Linked DNA regions of Anolis sagrei. The protein of the gene in region 2 interacts with the protein of the main gene of each other region in a pairwise test. Links are inferred from orthologs where the notes say so. Each region holds a gene or a part of one and is shown on either strand. Other genes may lie near its edges.

The links.
Region 1: the proteins of CHAF1A (region 2) and methyl-CpG-binding domain protein 1 interact in binary tests that used the Homo sapiens proteins (3 or more experiments, as listed by UniProt). The link is inferred for Anolis sagrei from reciprocal best matches to the Homo sapiens genes CHAF1A and MBD1.

What each region holds. Positions count from the first base shown.
Region 1 is NC_090022.1:193,767,617-193,777,824, forward strand, and holds the start of methyl-CpG-binding domain protein 1, read left to right. Parts: upstream 1-5,755; 5' UTR 5,756-5,840; intron 5,841-10,208. Other genes in the region: CXXC1 (CXXC-type zinc finger protein 1), read left to right, coding at 820-972, 1,132-1,278. UniProt on the Homo sapiens protein: Transcriptional repressor that binds CpG islands in promoters where the DNA is methylated at position 5 of cytosine within CpG dinucleotides. Binding is abolished by the presence of 7-mG that is produced by DNA damage by methylmethanesulfonate (MMS).
Region 2 is NC_090034.1:56,229,177-56,238,772, forward strand, and holds the start of CHAF1A (chromatin assembly factor 1 subunit A), read left to right. Parts: upstream 1-5,604; 5' UTR 5,605-5,866; exon of another isoform or gene 5,867-5,959; intron 5,960-8,872; 5' UTR 8,873-8,874; coding exon 8,875-8,923; intron 8,924-9,596. UniProt on the Homo sapiens protein: Acts as a component of the histone chaperone complex chromatin assembly factor 1 (CAF-1), which assembles histone octamers onto DNA during replication and repair.

The DNA.
Region 1 (10,208 bases), on a different chromosome or scaffold from region 2:
TCCCTGATGAACAGAGAAGAAGATATTAGGACCAAAATGATATTAGGGCATTCTTTCTCAAGTTTTATTGTATTTTTACTACGAACAAATGGTTACAACCAGGCGTTAAAAGCCTGTAGTTCTTCATTCTTTCTTTCAATCTTGATACTGCTAAGAAAACTTCCACATAAACAAGGAGAAAAGGAGTGGGGCAGAGACTAGAGAGTTGTAAAAAGACTTTGTAAAAAGAAGCTCCTTTGTCAATGGCTTTAAGGTTTATTTATTTATTTATTTACAGTATTTATATTCCACCCTTCTCACCCTAAAGGGGACTCAAGGCAGATCACAATGCACACATACACAACAAACATTCAATGCTGTTTTCAGATATACAAGACAGACGGGTATTTTGGCATTTCAAGTTAGGTGCCTGGAGGTTCAGCTCAATCCCTGCCATGCCGCGGGGGGTGGGGGTTGCTCTTCATTCACTATGACGGCGAGTGATTTTTATTGTATTTCCTCCTTGCTCTTTGATTCCCAGCATTTTTATGGTGTCGTAAAATACCTTCCCACTTTTAAGCAGTCTCTCATTTCTTTACTCACAGCTCAGCTGTTTTCAAACTGCTTAGGCGGACAGTAAGCTAGGCTTAACAAATGTGTGCTCAATCTGACTAGGGCTTCGAACTTGCCACCTTCTGGTCAGCAGTGATCTATTGCTGCTGGTGATTAACCAGCTGTGCTACAGCTTGGCCCAATCTTATCACAGAGTATGAATCATTTTAGCTGGATATCAAACATCCCTGATTTCAGACTGTTCACTCTTGACTGATCTTCCCCCAGGTGTCAGCAGATGAGGTATGTGGTTGCCCCATGGTAAAAGACGTATTTGAGCTCACTGGGGAGTTCTGCCGTGTGCCCAAACGGAAATGCAATCGACACTACTGCTGGGAGAAGCTGCGCCGGGCTGAGGTGGACTTGGAGAGAGTACGCGTGGTATGGATCAGCAAACTTCACATATGTGTCTGGTTGTCAAAGGGTTATAATGAGCCCATCAACAGTGTATGAAATAGGTTTTTGGCTCGAGAAATCGTAGCAGTGGTGTGAATCCTTCCACTAGGGATGGGCTGTAATCTGCTCCTCTTGCTTTTGCAGTGGTACAAGCTGGACGAGCTGTTTGAACAGGAACGAAATGTACGGATGGCCATGACCAACCGAGCTGGGCTTCTTGCTCTCATGCTGCACCAGACAATCCAGCATGATCCACTGACCACAGACTTGCGTACAACCACTGATCGCTGAGCTAGTAAGCGAAAGGTAATAGCACCTGCTGCCATTGGATTGATAAAGAGGATTCAGTGCTAAGTTGCTTGGTTAGCTAAGCCTGGAGGGTGGGGGTAGATGCATATCTGAGATGGAGATGTAGAGTCTCTATTGGACACATAGAGTCTCAGCTGGGGGCTATATCAGTTACTGTGGGGTGTTGGGATATACTCTTTCCTTACATAGGAAGCATTGGTGCTCATACATTATTTGGAGAACAGTTGTGTGTTTTCCTCTCACTGGTCTCACTTAAGACAAGAGGATTGGGGAACTTGCTTCTGAGGAAGACATTAAATGAAGTGCCTTGAAATAGCACAATTTTTCCCTGTAGAAGAGTGTCAGCTTAAATCTCTGGCTAACACTAAGGCAAGACAAGGGTAGAGATTACTTCAGATACTGGGCTCCCAGCAGCATTTACCGTAGGCGTACTGTGGAGGGCTGGTTGGATTTGCATTCTTAACAACATTGAGATCTCATGTTCCCTCATTCTTGTCAAAGATTTGTATCATTTTCCTGTCCTTAACACCCATCTCTTTTCTTTGTAGGTGCTGTTGAGCCTATGGACAAGAGCTTCCCAATTCAGTGCCAATTGAACCAGAATCTTTTTTTAAAAATGATTTTTCTTAATCTCTTTTTTCATTAAAACAGTCTGGTGTAGCTTTTGCCTCTGAGCTCCTCTTCTTTGCTCCTGTAGAATCTAAGCTGTCTTTGACCATAAAACCCTTGCCAGTGGCTGTTAGCTGTGGTCCCTTTTTTTCTAAAATATTCCCATGGTTTAAGGGCTGGAAGACTGGCAGTTAGGGAAGTCAGTGGCTTCTTCTGCCAACTTGCCAAGGTGAAAGGAATGTTTCGGCTCATACTGGCTTAGGACAATCCCTGCTTCCTGAAGCAGAATTTTGATTAGATTTTTGATGCTGCATTGAAGGAAAGACGCGTGTAAACATTAAGCACTGTTGCCTTTCCATGTAGCTGCTGTCAGCTAAGAGTCATGGAACTGAGGGGTTAAATATGCTGTTAAATCAGGGCAAAGGAACCAGATGGGTTACAAATCTCTCATCCCATTGTGTGCTGTTGCCAGGAGGCAGAAAAGAGGCTAATAAAAATATCTCTCAACCTTCTGTCTCATTCTCTCTCTGTATGTGCGTTTTATATTATGGGCCAGCATCAAATGACATTGGATTACTGTTTAAATAGCTGCTATTCTTTATCTTTACTCCTAACTCAGGGCCCTTCCACACATCCATATAACCCAGAATATCAAGGCAGAAAATCCTAGAATGTCTGCCTTGGACTGGGTTATCTGAGTCCACACTGCCATATAATCCAGTTCAAAGCAGAAAATGTGAGATTTTATTCAACTATGCGGAAGGCTATGCACAGTTACTGGGGCCAGCTGCAAGAGGCAAAAGACACAGGAGGCCAAAAGGATACAAAGAATCAGTTATAAGGGGAACACATTGAAGTGTATGTTTATTAAAGAGGCTACTTTGTAATAGAGGGGGAAGACAGTGTATCTAGGGTGCTTGTCAGTTGTTGCTGCCCTTCTCCACTCCTCTGATGATTATTTGCATATTTGATCAGCCGGGGTCGGGGATGTGTGTGGTGGTTGGTGCTCAGTATCAGAAGGACCCTGAGTCCACACTGCCATATATCCCAATCCAAAGCAGAAAATGTGGGATTTTATTCAGCTGTGTGGAAGGGGCCTAAGGGCCCTTCCATGCAGCCATATAACCCAGAATATCAAGGCAGAAAATCCCACAATGTCTGCTTTGAATTGGGTTATCTGAGTCCACACTGTGATAGATCCCAGTTCAAAGCAAAAAATGTGGGATTTTATTCAGCTGCGTAGAAGGGGCCTAAGTCTGCAGTGCTTTTCATGCTCTGATTTGTGTCTGGGCATTGCTGTGTTTGGTGGTCCCTATGTAGACTTGTCCACAATTGCATGGTGTATCGTAGACTCCTGCAGTGGTTAGAGGACCCCTCTTGTCTTTTGCTGAATTGTTGAATTTGTGTTGTCTTGACCTGAGAAATCAGCCGTAGCAGAGCACCTGATGAACCAACCTGGACACAGCATATTATTGGAGAACACAGAATGCTGGACCACTCTCACAGCCACCATGTCAGACTACACAGAAAAGGCACTGAGATTCACAAGAAGCATGTGGACAATCTCAACAGAAAGGAAGAAACCATGAAAATAAAATCTGGCCGCCAGTATTTAAAAAACCCTCTAAAATCAGGACAGTAAATAAAAGTAATGGTATTCCCTGTAGTAAATTACGGATGTGAGAGCTCGACCATAGGGAAGGCTGAGCAAAGGAAGATAGATGCTTTTGAACTGTGGTGCTGGAGGAAAGTTCTGAGAGTGCCTTGGACCACCAGAAGATCCAACCATACTCCAGGAAATAAAGTCTGACTGCTCATTGGAGGGAAGGATATTGGAGGAAAAGATGAAGTACATAATGAGAAGACAGGAAAGCTTGGAGAAGACAATGATGCTGGGGAAAATGGAAGGAAAAAGGAAGAGGGGCCGACCAAGGGCAAGATGGATGGATGGCATCCTAGAAGTGACTGGCTTGACCTTGAAGGAGCTGGGGGTGGTGACGGCCGACAGGGAGCTCTGGTGTGGGCTGGTCCATGAGGTCACGAAGAGTTAGAAACAACTGAACGAATGAACAACAACAACATATTTGCCAATATATGGCTTTAATTGCAACAGAAAGGTCATTCAGCAGACTTGCAAACAAGGCAAATAGGCACAACTAGTCAAGAGCAATGTACTCTTTTAGAAATTTTGTGCATCGAAGATGATTTAGCTAAGCAAGTTGATTTTACTGAAGTTATTGCAAAATTTACATCAACACAAGCTAGAAAATATAATTTGAGTTAAGTAAGAAGCTGGGGGTGGTGACGGCTGACAGGGAGCTCTGGTGTGGGCTGATCCATGAGGTCACGAAGAGTTGGAAGCGACTGAACGAATGAACAACAAATAAAGAGCAATACCCAAAAAGCAGGTGAATTCCAGGTAAGAGTCAATCAGGGTCAGCTAACACCTCCCAACAAAAAATTCCCCCAGGCAGCAACTAGCCAGGCTTTAAAGCTGCAAGGACATTAAATGCTAATCAAGGTGGCCCATTGCAACATTCACACTTGCCTCAAGAGTTCTCTCTCCCACCCTGGACATCACTTGCTTCGTTACCAACAGACCTCACAACCTCTGAGGATGCCTGCCATAGATGTGGGCAAAGCGTCAGGAGAGAATGCTTCTGGAACATGGCCATACAGCTCTGAACACTCACAGCAATCCATTCTTGAATGTTCTTGCTGCACTTTGGTGGGGCAGAGGCGGATACAGAACCTATCCGATGACAGATCTCAGGACTCCACAGCCTTGAACCCTGGCGGTGCATTCATGCTGCAATCTATTCAAAATGATCTTGACAGATTAGAGAGATGGGCCAAAACTAACAAAATGAAGTTCAACAGTGACAAATGCAAGATACTCCACTTTGGCAGGAAAAACGAAATGCAAAGATACAGAATGGGGGATGCCTGGCTCGAGAGCAGTACGTGTGAAAAAGATCTTGGAGTCCTCGTGGACTACAAGTTAAACATGAGCCAACAATGTGATGTGGCGGCAAAAAAAGCCAATGGGATTTTGGCCTGCATCAATAGGAGCATAGTGTCTAGATCTAGGGAAGTCATGCTACCCCTCTATTCCGCTTTGGTTAGACCACAACTGGAATATTGTGCCCAATTCTGGGCACCACAATTGAAGAGAGAGATTGACAAGCTGGAATGTGTCCAGAGGAGGGCGACTAAAATGATCAAGGGTCTGGAGAACAAGCCCTATGAGGAGTGGCTTAAGGAGCGGGGCATGTTTAGCCTGAAGAAGAGAAGGCTGAGAGGAGATATGATAGCCATGTATAAATATGTGAGAGGAAGCCACAGGGAGGAGGGAGCAAGCTTGTTTTCTGCTGCCCTGGAGACTAGGATGCAATGGAACAATGGCTTCAAACGATAAGAGAGGAGATTCCATCTGAACATTAGGAAGAACTTCCTGACTGTGAGAGCCGTTCAGCAGTGGAACTCTCTGCCCGGAGTGTGGTGGAGGCTCCTTCTTTGGAAGCTTTTAAACAGAGGCTGGATGGCCATCTATCGGGGTGATTTGAATGCAATATTCCTGCTTCTTGGCCTGAATGGCCCATGAGGTCTCTTCCAACTCTTTGATTCTATTCTATGATTCTAGAAGAAGCACTTCCCGCCTGTCCTCCGCGCGCCTCCCCCGGCCACGTGCTGGGGAGCATGCTGACGTCAGGGGCCTTGGGTCTTACCGTCATCTTCGTCACTTCCGCTTCCGGGAAGGGTGTTGTTGTTTGCGTCGAGGGGGTGTTCCTCCCTGGTGCCTTGGCGAAGTCCCTGCTGCAGGAGCAGGCGGAGGGGGTTGGCAGGGCCCTTCCGGAGCCCGGTTTCCTGGAAGAGGAGGAGGAGGAGAAGGCGCAGTGCGGAAGGAAGGAAGGAAGCAAGAGACGGAGAGGCTGGTGAGTCAGGCGGCATCCTGAGTGAGGCAAGCAGCCACTATGGCGCCCTCGAGGAGGGAGGGACAGATGGGTCTTTTCCTGAAAGGGTGCCACACTGAGGAGGGGGCCAGCTTGTTTTCTGCTCCTCTGGAGACCAGGGCGCCAGGGATTCAAAGAGACCCACCTCAACATCTCTGTTTAGCACATGCTGCATATGGTGGAGCCTTCTTCTCTTGAGGCTGGATGACCATCTGCCAGGGCTGCTTTGATTGTATGTTTCCTACTTGGCAGAAGAGGGTTGGACTGAATGGCCCTTGGGGTCTCTTCCCACTCTACGATTTCGTAGTCAGACCAGTGGCACTAGGAATGTTTCCTTGCAAGTTGTTCTCTCCATAACATTTGGTCTTCCTTTCTGGTGGAGGCTCCTTCTTTGGAAGCTTTTAAACAGAGGCTGGATGGCTATCTGTCAGGGGTGATTTGAATGCAATAGTTCTGCTTCTTGGCCTGGATGGCTCATGAGGTCTCTTCCAACTCTTTGATTCTATGATTCTTTCTGCTGCTACCATATTGCAACATAATCTTTTTGTTCATGAATATTAATATTACATAATATAATATAAGTCAGAGGAATAGAGTGTGAAACAGAGAGCCAAATGTAACATGTAAAATCATACTACATATATTTGACATTAATATTGAAATCTGAAATATATACAGAAAGTCTTTACTGGATAGTTTTAACTGAACCTTTTAGTACTGTTTATATTTAATTCTGTTTAAATATTTGTATATTTAGAATGCTGTGCTAACGTTTTTATGTTAAACCCGAAGGCAGGCATGTAGCCCCCCCCCCCCCCGAAAGTCTCATGGTGGCCTTACTGGTACATCATTTAAACTGTTATGTTTATTCATATCATGACCTGATCACCATGCTCAATATATCCCATATGCATGGGGGTATTGGGATAACGATACAAAAGGTTTGCTAAGGTAGACCCTCTCTCACTCAGACTCAGCCCCCCCCCCCAATCAAACTCAGCTCCCCCCGAAACAAAATCCTGGCTACGGGTCTGCCCGAAGGGGACTCAAATAGAATGTAATAATAATAATAATAATAATAATAATTTTGGAGCATAATACTCCTGACTTCACAATCATGTTAAAAAACAAAGTATGGATCGTCGATGTCACAGTCCCAGGTGACAGCAGGATTGCAGAGAAACAACAGGGAAAAGCTGACACAATATGAGTATTTAAAGATCAAACTGCAAAGACTCTGGCACAAGCCAGTCAAGGTGGTCCCAGTGGTGATCGGCACACTGGGTGCAGTGCCTAAAGACCTTGGCCTGCACTTAGACACAATCGGCACTGACAAAATTAACATCTGCCAGCTGCAGAAGGCCACCTTACTGGGATCTGCACACATTATTCGCCGATGCATCACACAGTCCTAGACACTTGGGAAGTGTCCGGCATCTGATCCAATACAACAGCCAGCAGAGTGTCTGCTGTGGACTCATCTTGTTGTATTTTCAAATAATAATATGGAAATTCTGTGATATTGTGGAAAGGGATCTATGGTTGGGATTTCACTCCTTCTCAATCAGGGCTCAGCTTGATGGTTCATTACTGGTGAAGGGGGCATGACAGCTGCAAACTGGGTTGATCTGCCACTTTGAGGCCCCTTCTACACTGCCATATAATTCAGATTATCAAAGCAGATAATCCACATAATCTGTTTTGAACTGGATTCTATCAGTCTATGCTGCTACCTAATCTAGTTCAAAGCAGATAATCTGGATTTTATATGGCTGTGTAGAGGGGCCTGAGTCTCCTTGTGTAGAGAAAAAGCGGGGCAATAATAATAATTCACTGGAACTTATGTCACAAGAACCACCTGCCAGCAGCAAAGAATTGGTGGAATCATAAACCCGCAAAGGTCATGGAAAATGAACATGCAAAAATACTGTGGGACTTTCGAATCCAGACGGACAAAGTTTTGGAACACAACACGCCAGACATCATGATTGTGGAAAAGAAAAAAGATTATTGATGTCGCCATACCAAGTGACAGTCACATTGAGGAAAAACAACAGGAAAAACTCAGCCGCTATCAAGACCTCAAAATCGAACTGCAAAGCCTCTGGCATAAACCAGTACAGGTAGTCCCAGTGGTCATTGGCACACTGGGTGCTGTGCCAAAAGATCTCAGCCGGCATTTGGAAACAATAAACATTGACAAAATCACGATCTGTCAACTGCAAAAGGCCACCTTACTTGGATCTGCACACATCATTCGAAAGTACATCACACAGTCCTAGACACTTGGGAAGTGTTCGACTTGTGATTTTGTGATATGAAATCCAGCATATAGATCTAATTTGCTGTGACATACTGTGCTTTTGTGTCAACAACAACAATAATAATTGTAATAATGGGGTGTTGTGTGGTTTTCGGCCTGTATTCTCATGTTCGCTTTCTCCTGACGTTTCACCTGCATCTGTGGCAGGCATCTTCAAAGGATAACAGCCACAGATGCAGGTGAAATGTCAGGAGAAAATGCTGCTAGAACAGGGCCATACTGCCTGGAAACCATAGCACCCAGCGATTCCAGCCATGAAAGCCTTCAATGATACATTAAACATAATAATAATAATAATAATAATAATAATAATAATAATAAGACCATTATCTGAGTGTTTCAGTCACCTCTTTGGGTGACATTCTCTTTAGCCAGCAATTCCCAGTTCTGATCCTGGGACACTGTACAGGCCAGATGGGTTTTGGCCCTTAGAAATGAGACCAAGGGTGCTGTACAGTTAATGCAGTTTGACCATCATTTTCATTGTCGTGGCTCAATTTTGAGGAATCCTGGGAGTTGTCATTTGACAAGGTGTTGTGCCTTCCTAGCCAAAGAGTGCTGTTGCCTTGCCAAAGTACAGATTGGCTGATTCCTGAGCCATGGCAGTTAAAGTGGCTAAGCTGCATTAATTATGCAGTCTGAGATGCACTCTTAGTCAGCCTTTTCCTCAACCATGGGAGTTGTTTGGTCTGTCTTTGTCCTAAGCTGGCTCTACACTGTAGATGTAATGACACCACATTACGTAATAAGATTTGTAGTTTGGTGAGGCACCAGTACTTTGGCCACATCATGAGAAGATAGGAAAGCTTGGAGAAGACAGTTATGCTGGGGAAAATGGAAGGTAAAAGGAAGAGGAGCTGACCAAGGGCAAGATGGATGGATGGGATCCTTGAAGTGACTGGCTTGACTCTGAAGGAGCTGGGGGTGGTGATGGCTGACAGGGAGCTCTGGCGTGGACTGGTCTATGAGGTCATGAAGAGTCGGAAGTGACTGAACGAATAAACAACAATGACGCACCAGCACTCTTTGGCAGAGTGCTACACATAGCTAACAGTCTTGTAAAACTATAACTCCTATGATTACATACAATTGAGTCATGATGAGTTAAAGCAGTAGCAAACTGCCGTAATAATATAGTATAAATACACTTTTAATTGTTGCTCTGGCCTTGGCCCCTTCCAGTACCTTTTATGTCTTATGTTGGGGAATCTGATTTTTTTGTGTATCATTGTAGTTCAGTAGGCCCTTGGTATCTGCTGGGTTTGATTCCAGACATTTTGTGGGCATCAACATCTGTGGATACTCAAGTCCCATTATATACAATGGTGTAGCAACATGGTGTCCCTTATATAAAATGGCAAGATCAAGATTTGCTTTTGGGGGGAAAAGGTTTTGAAGGAACATTAGTATCTGTGGATATGGAGTGCCAGATGTTTTCAGCTCTCAATTGCTCCTGCAATAGAAATGCAAAATTAACTGTCCCTTGAATTGTTGGTCTGTTATGTCCTAATCTAGCTGGTAATGTGTTAGTGATGTTTGCCTCAGTTTACATTTGGGAAAGTGCCTAGGATACTAGAAGGTTGAAGCACATTGATTTAGGGAAGTATTTTCTGGATGAATACGTACTATCTGTTATTGTCAGTGCTGAATTCAATACCAAACGGCCATGCACATAGAAGATTTATCATGGAGAAGGTGAAGAGTGATGGATTTGTGCTTGCATAATTGTCTCTTGGAAACTATTGCATGAAGTGATCTGCCAAGTGTGATTGACTCATCAGAGATGTAATGTTTGTATTGCCTCAAACTGAATGTTTTTTTTAAAAATGGACCCGGTTTACTTATGCAGGTGCCTGCCAGCATGACAGAGACCTAAAGTGATGCCTGTTGATGTGAATGGTACCTTGGTATCTAGCCACTCAGTCATTGAATTTTTTTTCATGTCACGAGTGACTTGAGAAGTTCCAAGTCATTTCTTGTGTGAGAGAATTGGCCGTCTACAAGGACGTTGCCCAGGAGTCCTCCAG
Region 2 (9,596 bases):
TGTTAGCCCCAGCTTCTGCCAACCGAACAGTTCAAAAATATGCAAATGTTAATAGATCAATAGGTACCGCTCCGGCGGGAAAGTAATGGCGCTCCATGCAGTCATGCCGGCCACATGACCATGGGGGTGTCTATGGACAACGCAGGCTCTTCGGCTTAGAAATGGAGATGAGCACCAACCCCCAGAGTCGGACACAACTGGACTTAATGTCAGAGGAAAACCTTTACTTTTATTTACCTATAAATAATTATATATATATTAAAATAATTTTTATTAAAGTTTTAAAAGTAACATCGAAAGAGGGTGAATATTAAAAAAGAGAATAGCAAAGTAGGAAAAAAATAGAAAAGCACCCCCCTACCCCCAAGTCCACCAAAAGATCAAAAAGGAAAAAACAGTAAAAAATAAAATACAAAAAACACAAAAAGAAATATATATATATATAAGATAAAAATTGACTTCCATCTCTCCATCAGGTGTGTCCTCAGTAATATTTCCATTGTATCCACTTCATAATGTTCCTCTTATTTGCTCCTTTCCTTTTCGTAGTTTTCATATAGAGTCCAATCTGTCCTCTTTATCGGATTCCCGGTGTTCTTTTTCAAGAAAAAAGTTAATTCGTCCATTTCTCTTATTTCTCTTATTTTCCCTAACCACTCTTCAATGGTAGGGATGTCTTCCTCTTTCCAAAGCTTCGCCAAAGATATTCTCTCCACTGTTGTAGCATAAGTAAATAGTCTATCTTCGTTCTCATCTAATTGTAATTCCAAATCCGTAAATCCCAATAGATAGTATTCTGGTTTCTTCTTGAAAACTCTCTTCAGAATTTTTTGTAACTCCTCATGTACTTTCGACCAGTATTTCTCTATTTCTTTACATGACCACCACATATGGTAAAAGGTACTTGTTTGGTGACAACCCTTCTAAATAATTATAAATTAATTATTATAAATAATTATGAATATAATAATATAAATAATATATTATTACACATAAATAATGCTGGTCGCTTCTGTGGCGTATCAGCCAGCACGTCAACGACTTAAATCTATAAATAGTTTTCTAAGATCTACAGAGACACTCGCTGGAACACCTCAGCAAGCGAGAATCCAAAAGTGGCAGGCTCAAACCCAGAACCTCAACCAATGGCTGATACCAAATGAGAGACTCCCCCCTGGGCACACAGAAAACTGGGCGACTTGGAAGGCGCTGAACAGACTGCATTCTGGCACCACAAGATGCAGAGCCAACCTCAAGAAATGGGGCTACAAAGTGGAATCCTTGATATGCAAATGTGGAGAGGAGCAAACCACTGACCACCTGCTGCAATGCAACCTGAGCCCTGCCACATGCACAATGGTGGACCTTCTTGCAGCAACACCAGAAGCACTCCAAGTGGCCAGATACTGGTCAAAGGACATTTAATCAACTACCAAACTCACAAATGTTGTATTTTGTCTGTTTGTTTGCTTTGTTCTGTTAGAAATGTAATATAATTGACTGGTTGCCCTGACATGACAAATAAATAACATAAATAATATTATAAATAATAGCATAAGGTAGGTATGTGGCCAGCATGCCTGCATGGTGCACCCTTACCTTCCTGCCAGAGTTAAACCTATTGATTCACTCACATTTACATGTTTTCGAACTGCTAGGTTTGATTATGGCAACCGGACGGACTGATTACTGGAAAATAGAGGGAGAAAATGTGGAGGCAATGACAAGGTTTGTATTTCTAGGTGCAAAGATTACTGCAGACGCAGACTGCTGCCAGGAAATCCGAAGATGTTTACTTTGTGGGATGAGAGCAATGACCAATCTTGATAAACTAGTGAAGAGTAGAGACATCACACTGGCAACGAAGATCCGCATAGTTAAAGCAATGGTATTCCGCGTAGCCACTTTGGATGGGAGAGCTGGACCATAAGGAAGGCTGAGCAAAGGAAGAGAAACACTTTTGAACTGTGATGCTGGAGGAAAATTCTGAGAGTGCCTTGGACCGTAAGATCAAACCAGTCCATCCTCCAGGGCATAATGCCTGACTGCTCACTGGAGGGAAGGATATTAGAGGCAAAGATGAAGTACTTTGGCCACATGAGAAGACAGGAAAGCTTGGAGATGACAATGATGCTGTGGAAAAAGGAAGGAAAAAGGAAGAGGGTCCGACCAAGAGCAAGATGCATGGTATCCTTGAATATTTGTATTCAATATTTGTATTCAATATTTGTTGATCCAAAAATCTGTATCTCCTGAGGAGAACAAATTCTCAAGTGTATAACCTTGTAAGTAACTTAAATGTTTTGTAACACATGGTGTTTAATGGATATGTTCAACAAATATTGGTGTAATAGCAAGTGTGAAGACTTAACAAATTTCTTTAAGTACATTTTAGTATAAGATGTTCTATATGTATGCAACCGGAGCAAAATATTGATTTATACATTCATTTCAGTCCACCAGAAGAAGGCCTGAGATAGGCCGAAACCGGTCGTGGATGGCTGATCTATAAGCTACTCAACATAAGAAGATATGACATTGATATTATTCTAAAGAGACTGTACCAGAATTTACATAATAGTGTTTGACATCACTGTGAAATTGAACAGTACAACATGTCTATATAACTGCTTGTTGAATTCCATTATTGTTTACTCTATGTATAAGTGGCATTTTTGTTGTATATAGTGGACGGCTGATCTATAAGCTACTCAACATAAGTAGATACGACATTGTTATTATTCTAAAGAGACTGTACCAAAATTTACACAATATTGTTTGACATCACTGTGAAATTGAACAGTACAACATGTCTATATAACTGCTTGTTGAATTCTATTATTGTTTACTCTATGTATAAGTGGTATTTTTGTTATATGTACTTATTCAGGAACCCATTTATATTATATTAGAGATATACATTTGGACAGGTAAGCTGGGCTGGAACCTTTTAGAGCTTTATTGGCTAAAGCCAGCACTTTGAATTGTGCCCAGTAACAAACTGGCAGCCAGTGGAGTTGACGTAACAGAGGGGTTGTATGCTCCTTGAACGCTGCTCCATGAGCAATCTGGCTACTGTCCGTTGGACCATTTGAAGCTTTTGAACAGTCTTCAAAAGCAACGCCACACAGAGCATGTTGCAGTGGTTTTTGAGTTATGCTAATTCCACAAACAAACATTCATTTTTTATTTATATAGACTAGCTGTCTCCTGTCACGCATTGCTGTGGCCCACATGGGGGTTCTGTGTGGGAGGTTTAGCCCAATTCTATCGTTGGTGGGGTTCAGAATGCTCTGTGATTGAAGGTGAACCATAAATCCCAGCAACTACAACTCCCAAATGTCAAGATTCTATTTTCCCCAAACTCCGCCAGTGTTCACATCTGGGCATATTGAGTATTCGTGTTGCTGGGTTGTTGTAGGTTTTTCCAGGCTATATGGCCATGTTCTAGAGGCATTTTCTCCTGACGTTTCACCTGCATCTATGGCAAGCATCCTCAGAGGTAGTGAGGTCTGTTGGAAGTAGGAAAATGGGTTTATATATCTGTGGAATGACCAGGGTGAGACAAAGGACTCTTGTCTGCTGGAGCTAGGTGTGAATGTTTCAACCGACCACCTTGATTAGCATTGAATGGCTTGGAAGTGCCTGGGGGAATCTTTTGCTGAGAGTGATTTGATGTGCCTGATTGTCTACTCTCTGCTGTTTTGCTGTTGTAATTTTTGAGTTTTTAAATACTGGTAGCCAGATTTTGTTCATTTTCATGGTTTCCTCCTTTCTGCTGAAATTGTCCAGATGCTTGTGGATTTCAATGGCTTTTCTGTGTAGCCTGACATGGTGGTTGTTGGAGTGATCCAGCATTTCTGTGTTCTCGAATAATATGCTGTGTCCAGGTTGGTTCATCAGGTGCTCTGCTATGGCTGACTTCTCTGGTTGAAGTAGTCTGCAGTGCCTTTCATGTTCCTTGATTCGTGTTTGGGCAATGCTGCGTTTGGTGGTCCCTATGTAGACTTGTCCACAGCTGCATGGAATACAGTAGACTCCTGCAGAGGTGAGAGGATCCCTCTTGTCCTTTGCTGAACGTAGCATTTGTTGGATTTTCTTGGTGGGTTTGTAGGTGGTTTGTATGTTGTGTATTTGTGTTGCGTTTGGTCCAGATCCATTACTGTTTGAATCCACAGTGATCTCTGGATGTAGGTGAACTACATTATAATTCATTCATTTAATGAGGCGATCCCTCGCTTTCCGAGGAGGATTGTCTTCCAGTATTCTTGTGGGTCCGTATGTGGCTGTGGAGCCCTATTCTTTCTCTGCATCTTCTCCCGCAGTGAGGGCATTGGTTTCCAGGTGGAAGGCGGTTTTGGTTGGGGTTGGCTTGACGCGCCTTCCTCTTGGCACGCTTCTCCCTTTCGCCCTCCATTCGTGCCTCTTCAAATTCTGCAGCACTGCTGGTCACAGCTGACCTCCAGCAGGAGCGGTCAAGGGCCAGGGCTTCCCAGTTCTCAGTGTCTATGCCAGAGTTTTTAAGGTTGGCTTTGAGCCCATCTTTAAATTTCTTTTCCTGTGAACTACAATTCCAGAACCAAAGGACACTGCCCACCAAACCCTTCCAGTATTTTCTGTTGGTCATGGGTTCCGGCCCAAGGTACCTATCCGACCGCATCTCTGCCTATGAACCCACCAGGACTTTGAGATCTTCCGGGGAGACCCTGCTCTCGATCCCGCCTGCTTCTCAAACTCGGCTGGCAGGGACGAGAGATAGGGCCTTCTCGGTGGTGGCTCCTCGGCTGTGGAACACCCTTCCTACGGACCTTAGACTAGCACCATCTCTAATGGTATTCCGCAAAAAAGTGAAGACCTGGCTGTTTGAGCAGGCGTTCGAATAATTAGTGCAATGACTGGTTAATGAACACTGGAATGGAACGATGGATGACGAATCTGGAACATGTTTTTGATGACGAGACGACAGTGAATGGGTATTGTAGTAACTGTTTATGAATTGTGTAATGTGTTAGGTTGTTAACTGTTTCTATACTGTAGCACTGAATTTTTGCTGTTCGTATTTGTTGTGAACCGCTCTGAGTTGCCTTCGGGCTGAGAACAGCGGTATATAAGAAAGGTAAATAAATAAATAAATAAATGGGAGAACTGTGTGCCAAGTTTGGTTCAATTCCATCGTTGGTGGGGTTCAGAGTGCTCTTTGATTGAAGGGGAACTATAAATCCTAGCAACTACAACTCCCAAATGACAAAATCAATTTTTTGAGTGAAGGACATACATTGGGTTGTTAGGTGTCTTGTGTCCAAATTTGGTGTCAATTTGTCCAGTGGTTTTTGAGTTCTGTTAATCCCACAAAACGAGCATTACATTTTTATTTAGATAGAAGGTTTTGGAAGCATTTCGGAGATGCAATCCTTTCTGTTTTTCACGTTTCACTATGTTACACCTCGAGAGAATGAGTTGGAAGGCAAGCGCGCATGCGCACATCCCCTTCGCCTTCCCTCCAGCACTTGTCGCGAGAAGGGCCAGGAGCCGCCAAGAGCCAATCGGGAAAGGAGGGAGGCGGCGCGCGCGTTGGGTTGGTCACGTGCCCCGCGCGTCCCGCCCAATCAGAGCCCTGGAGCGCGAAGGTGGCCCGAACTCCCGCCAAATACAAGCGAGGGAGCCTGGTTGGACGGCGAGCGGGAAGGGTCAGAAGGGGAAGGCTGGCTCAAAGTAAGGCAGAAGACGCGGGGAAAAGCCGGAAAGAAGGACGAAGGAAGGAGAAGGGCTTCCTATGCGGGGAGCGGAAGGCAGGAAGAGCCTGGGCTGCTTCCTCCCGCCTTTTGAGGGGAGAAGCCGGCCAGGAAGGAAGAAAGACCTTGGTGAGGTGAGCTGGGGGAAGAGCGGAAAGAGAGGCCTGGCCTGTTGGAGTAGAAAGACCTGCGGGAAAGGGATCATTATTCAGAACAATACGAATGAAGTGAGTTGCTGTTTTATTGTATGTTACTAGCCGTCTCTAGCCACGCGTTGCTGTGGCCCAGTCTTGTATTCTGGAAAATGATGTAATGAGAAACTGTTGGTTTCTAATGCCTTTATGCTTTGTGAGCAAACAGTATTTTCTGCTGTTTCTTTGTCAGTGTTGATTTGGAGATTGTCTGGTTTGCCTACTCTGGAACATGCAACATATAATTGTCCTTCTTTAGGGGTCCCTTTCAAATCTATGATACTATTTCTATCATATACTTATATATATGTGTGTGTGTGTGTGGATTATATAGATCTATCTATTTATTTATTTACTTTGCTTGTATACCGCAATTTCTCAGCCTTGTAGGTGACTCAACGCGGTTTACAACAAGAGCAAAAGTCAATCCAACAGCATACAAAGTTTAAAAACCATTAACAGCATAATATACAAAATGACACATCAATAACAACACATTAATGTCTCGTAACTAGAATCGTGATCCAATTTGTCTTCCATAATTCCGTTTCCTATATTCATCGTGTACATTGCATTGTTTAACCGAACGCCTGTTCGAACAGCCAGGTTTTTAGTTTTCTTCGAAACACCATTAATGAAGGGGCTGATCTAATGTCCATGGGAAGGGCGTTCCACAGCCATCTATGGCTGGATGGCTCTTTGCTTTCTTGCCCTGGTGAAGGGAGTTGGACTGGATGGCCTTAAGGTAGCATTTCTCAACCTGAGGGTCGCGAGAGGGTGTCAGGAGGGTTGCCAAAGACCACCAGAAAACAGTCATGGGGGTTCTCTCTGTGTGTGTGTGGGGGGGGGGGGGGGTGTTCTGTGTGGGAAGTTTGGCCCAATTCTATCATTGATCTTTGGATGTGGGTGAACTACAACTCCAAAACCAAAGGACACTGCCCACCAAACCCTTCCAGTATTTTCTGTTGGTCATGGGAGAACTGTGTGCCAAGTTTGGTTCAATTCTATTGTTGGTGGGTTCAGAATGCTCTTCGATTGTAGGTGAACTATAAATCTCAGTAAGTACAACTCCCAAATGACAAAATCAGGGTTTTTTTGTGTGATGGTAACTCCTTGGGTTAGTAAGTGTCTTGTGGCCAAATTTGGCGGCAATTAGTCCAGCAGTTTTTGAGTTATGATGTCACTCAAAATGAACAGAGCGTTGTATATGTGTGTGTGTGTACTATTACATATTATTTTTATTGTTAAAGTGACTTGTGTATGTGAAGAAGCCTTGTGTGGGATGGGTGCCTGATGGATGTGTTTCCTGAGGGAGATAATTAAGTGGGTAATAAATAATGCATTATTTATCTATTTTACTATTTATTATTATTATTATTTCCTATTCTCATTAAAGTCACTTGTGTGTGAAAAAGAGGCAAGGAAAAAGCCTTGTTTGGGAGGTTTGTCAAATGTGTTTGTGAGGGAGATAATGAGGTGGGTAATAAATCATGTATTGTTTATTAATATTATTATTAGTTTGTACTATTATTGTTATTAAAGTGAGTTGTGTGTATGGTGAAGCCTTGTGTAGGATGTGTGTCTGACTGATGTGTTTGAGGGAGATAATGAGGTGGGTAATAAATACATACAGTAGAGTCTCGCTTATCCAACATAAATGGGCCAGCAGAATGTTGGATATGCAAAAATGTCGGATAATACGGAGGGATTAAGAAAAAGCCTATTAAACGTCAAATTATGTTATGATTTTACAACCTAAGCACCAAAACATCATGTTTTATAACAAATCGACAAAAAGGGAGTTCAATACACAATAATATTATGTAGAAATTACTGTATTTACAAATTTAGCACCAAAACATTGCAGTGTATTGAAACAGCTGTGGATCTGGGCGGGAGACAGACTGCGTTGGATGAGCGAAGGTTGGATAAGGGAGGTTCTACTGTATATTATATATTCTTCTTATTATTAAAGTGACTTGTGTGTATGGAGAAGCCTTGTGTAGGATGTGTACCTGACTGGTGTGTTTTTGAAGGAGATAATGTGGTGGGTAATAAATAGTGTATAATTACTATTATTACTTTTATTAGTAGTTTTTACTATTTTACTATTTATTATCATTATTAAAGTCAGTTGTGTGTATGGAAAAGAGGCTAGGAAAAGCCTTGTATGGGGTGTGTGATGTGTTTGTGAGGGGGATAATAAGATAGGTAATAAATCATGTATTATTATTATTTATTCCAATTATTGTTAATTTTTACTATTGGCTGATGTGCCCGTAAAGGAGGTAATAAGTTGGGTATTATTATTATGTTATTCTTTATTATTACTATTATATATTTATTCTTACTAAAGTGACTCGTGTGTCTGGAGAAGCTTTGTGTAGGATGCCTGTCTGACTGATGCGTTTCCTGAGGGAGATATTGAGGTGGTTAATAAATGTATTATTTAGTATTACTATTACTTAATTTTGTTGTTGCTGTTATTATTATTAAAGTAAATTGTGCTTATGGAAAGAGGTGAGGAAAAAAGGCTTGTGTGGGATGTGTGTCTGATGTGTTTGTGAAGAAAATAATGTGGTGGGTAATAAATAATGTATTATTATTTATTACTATTATAATAAATTTTTAATTATTGTTATTGTTATTATTATTATTATTAAAGTGGAGGAAAGCCTCAACGTTTTAATCATTAGAATGGTCTACTGAACAATAAGTTCAGCCTTTGAGACGTCTCACCAATTTCACCAAAATTTGAAAATGGAAATAAGAAAATATGTGATGAGTTAGAGGAGGGTGAAAAGTATGAAAAATAGGATTTCTGAATGAACTGAATGATGTCAGTTTTAAAGGTGGTCGACTGATGGTCTAAGATGGGTTACTTTGAATGTGTCAGATTTTGCCTTCTAAAATCTTGTTTTTTAATGCATCTTTGTCATTTGTTGGCAGCAATGGAGTGTCGAGACAAATCGGCCACTCCAGGCCGGAAACTGATCCAAGGTAATTTTCTTTGTTCAAAGCCGGTTCTAGTTTTCATTTCCATGGTAACCTTCAGATTCGGATTGCATATTCCAAAAAGTCAAAATGTAATGAAACTGGGAGTGGGACTCTTCTAGCCCTGGAGTTGTTAGCACTCCATGTTAATACAGTCTACTTCAGTAATCAAGTCAGTATGTATTTTAACAGAAATATTGATTCTAGAGCAGGCATGGCCAAACTTCCTAACTTAGGGGCTGCATGCTAGCACTCCCTTATAGGAGGACTGGCTTCCCAGTGACGGAAGGAAGGGAAAGAAAAAAAGGTACAATGAAAAGCAGGAAGGGAAGGATGGAAGGAGAAAGAAGGAAGGAGGGAGAAAAGAGGGAAGGAAGGAAGGAAAGAGGGAAGGAAGGATGAAAGGGTAGAAGAGAAGGAGGAAGGAAAGACAAAAGGGAGGAAGGAAAGAGAGAAGGAAGGAAAGACAAAAGGGAAGGGAAGGGTGGAAGGAAGGAAAGAAAAGGAAGGACGAAAGGGTTGGAGAGAGGGGAGGTTGGAAAGAGAGAAGGAAGGAAAGAAAAGGGAAGGAAGGAAAAAGAGGGTGAGGGAAGGAAAGAAGGACAAAGGGGTGGAAGGAGGGAGGAAGAGGAAGGGAGGAAGGAGTAAAGGGTGGAAGAGAAGGAGGGAAGGAGGAAGG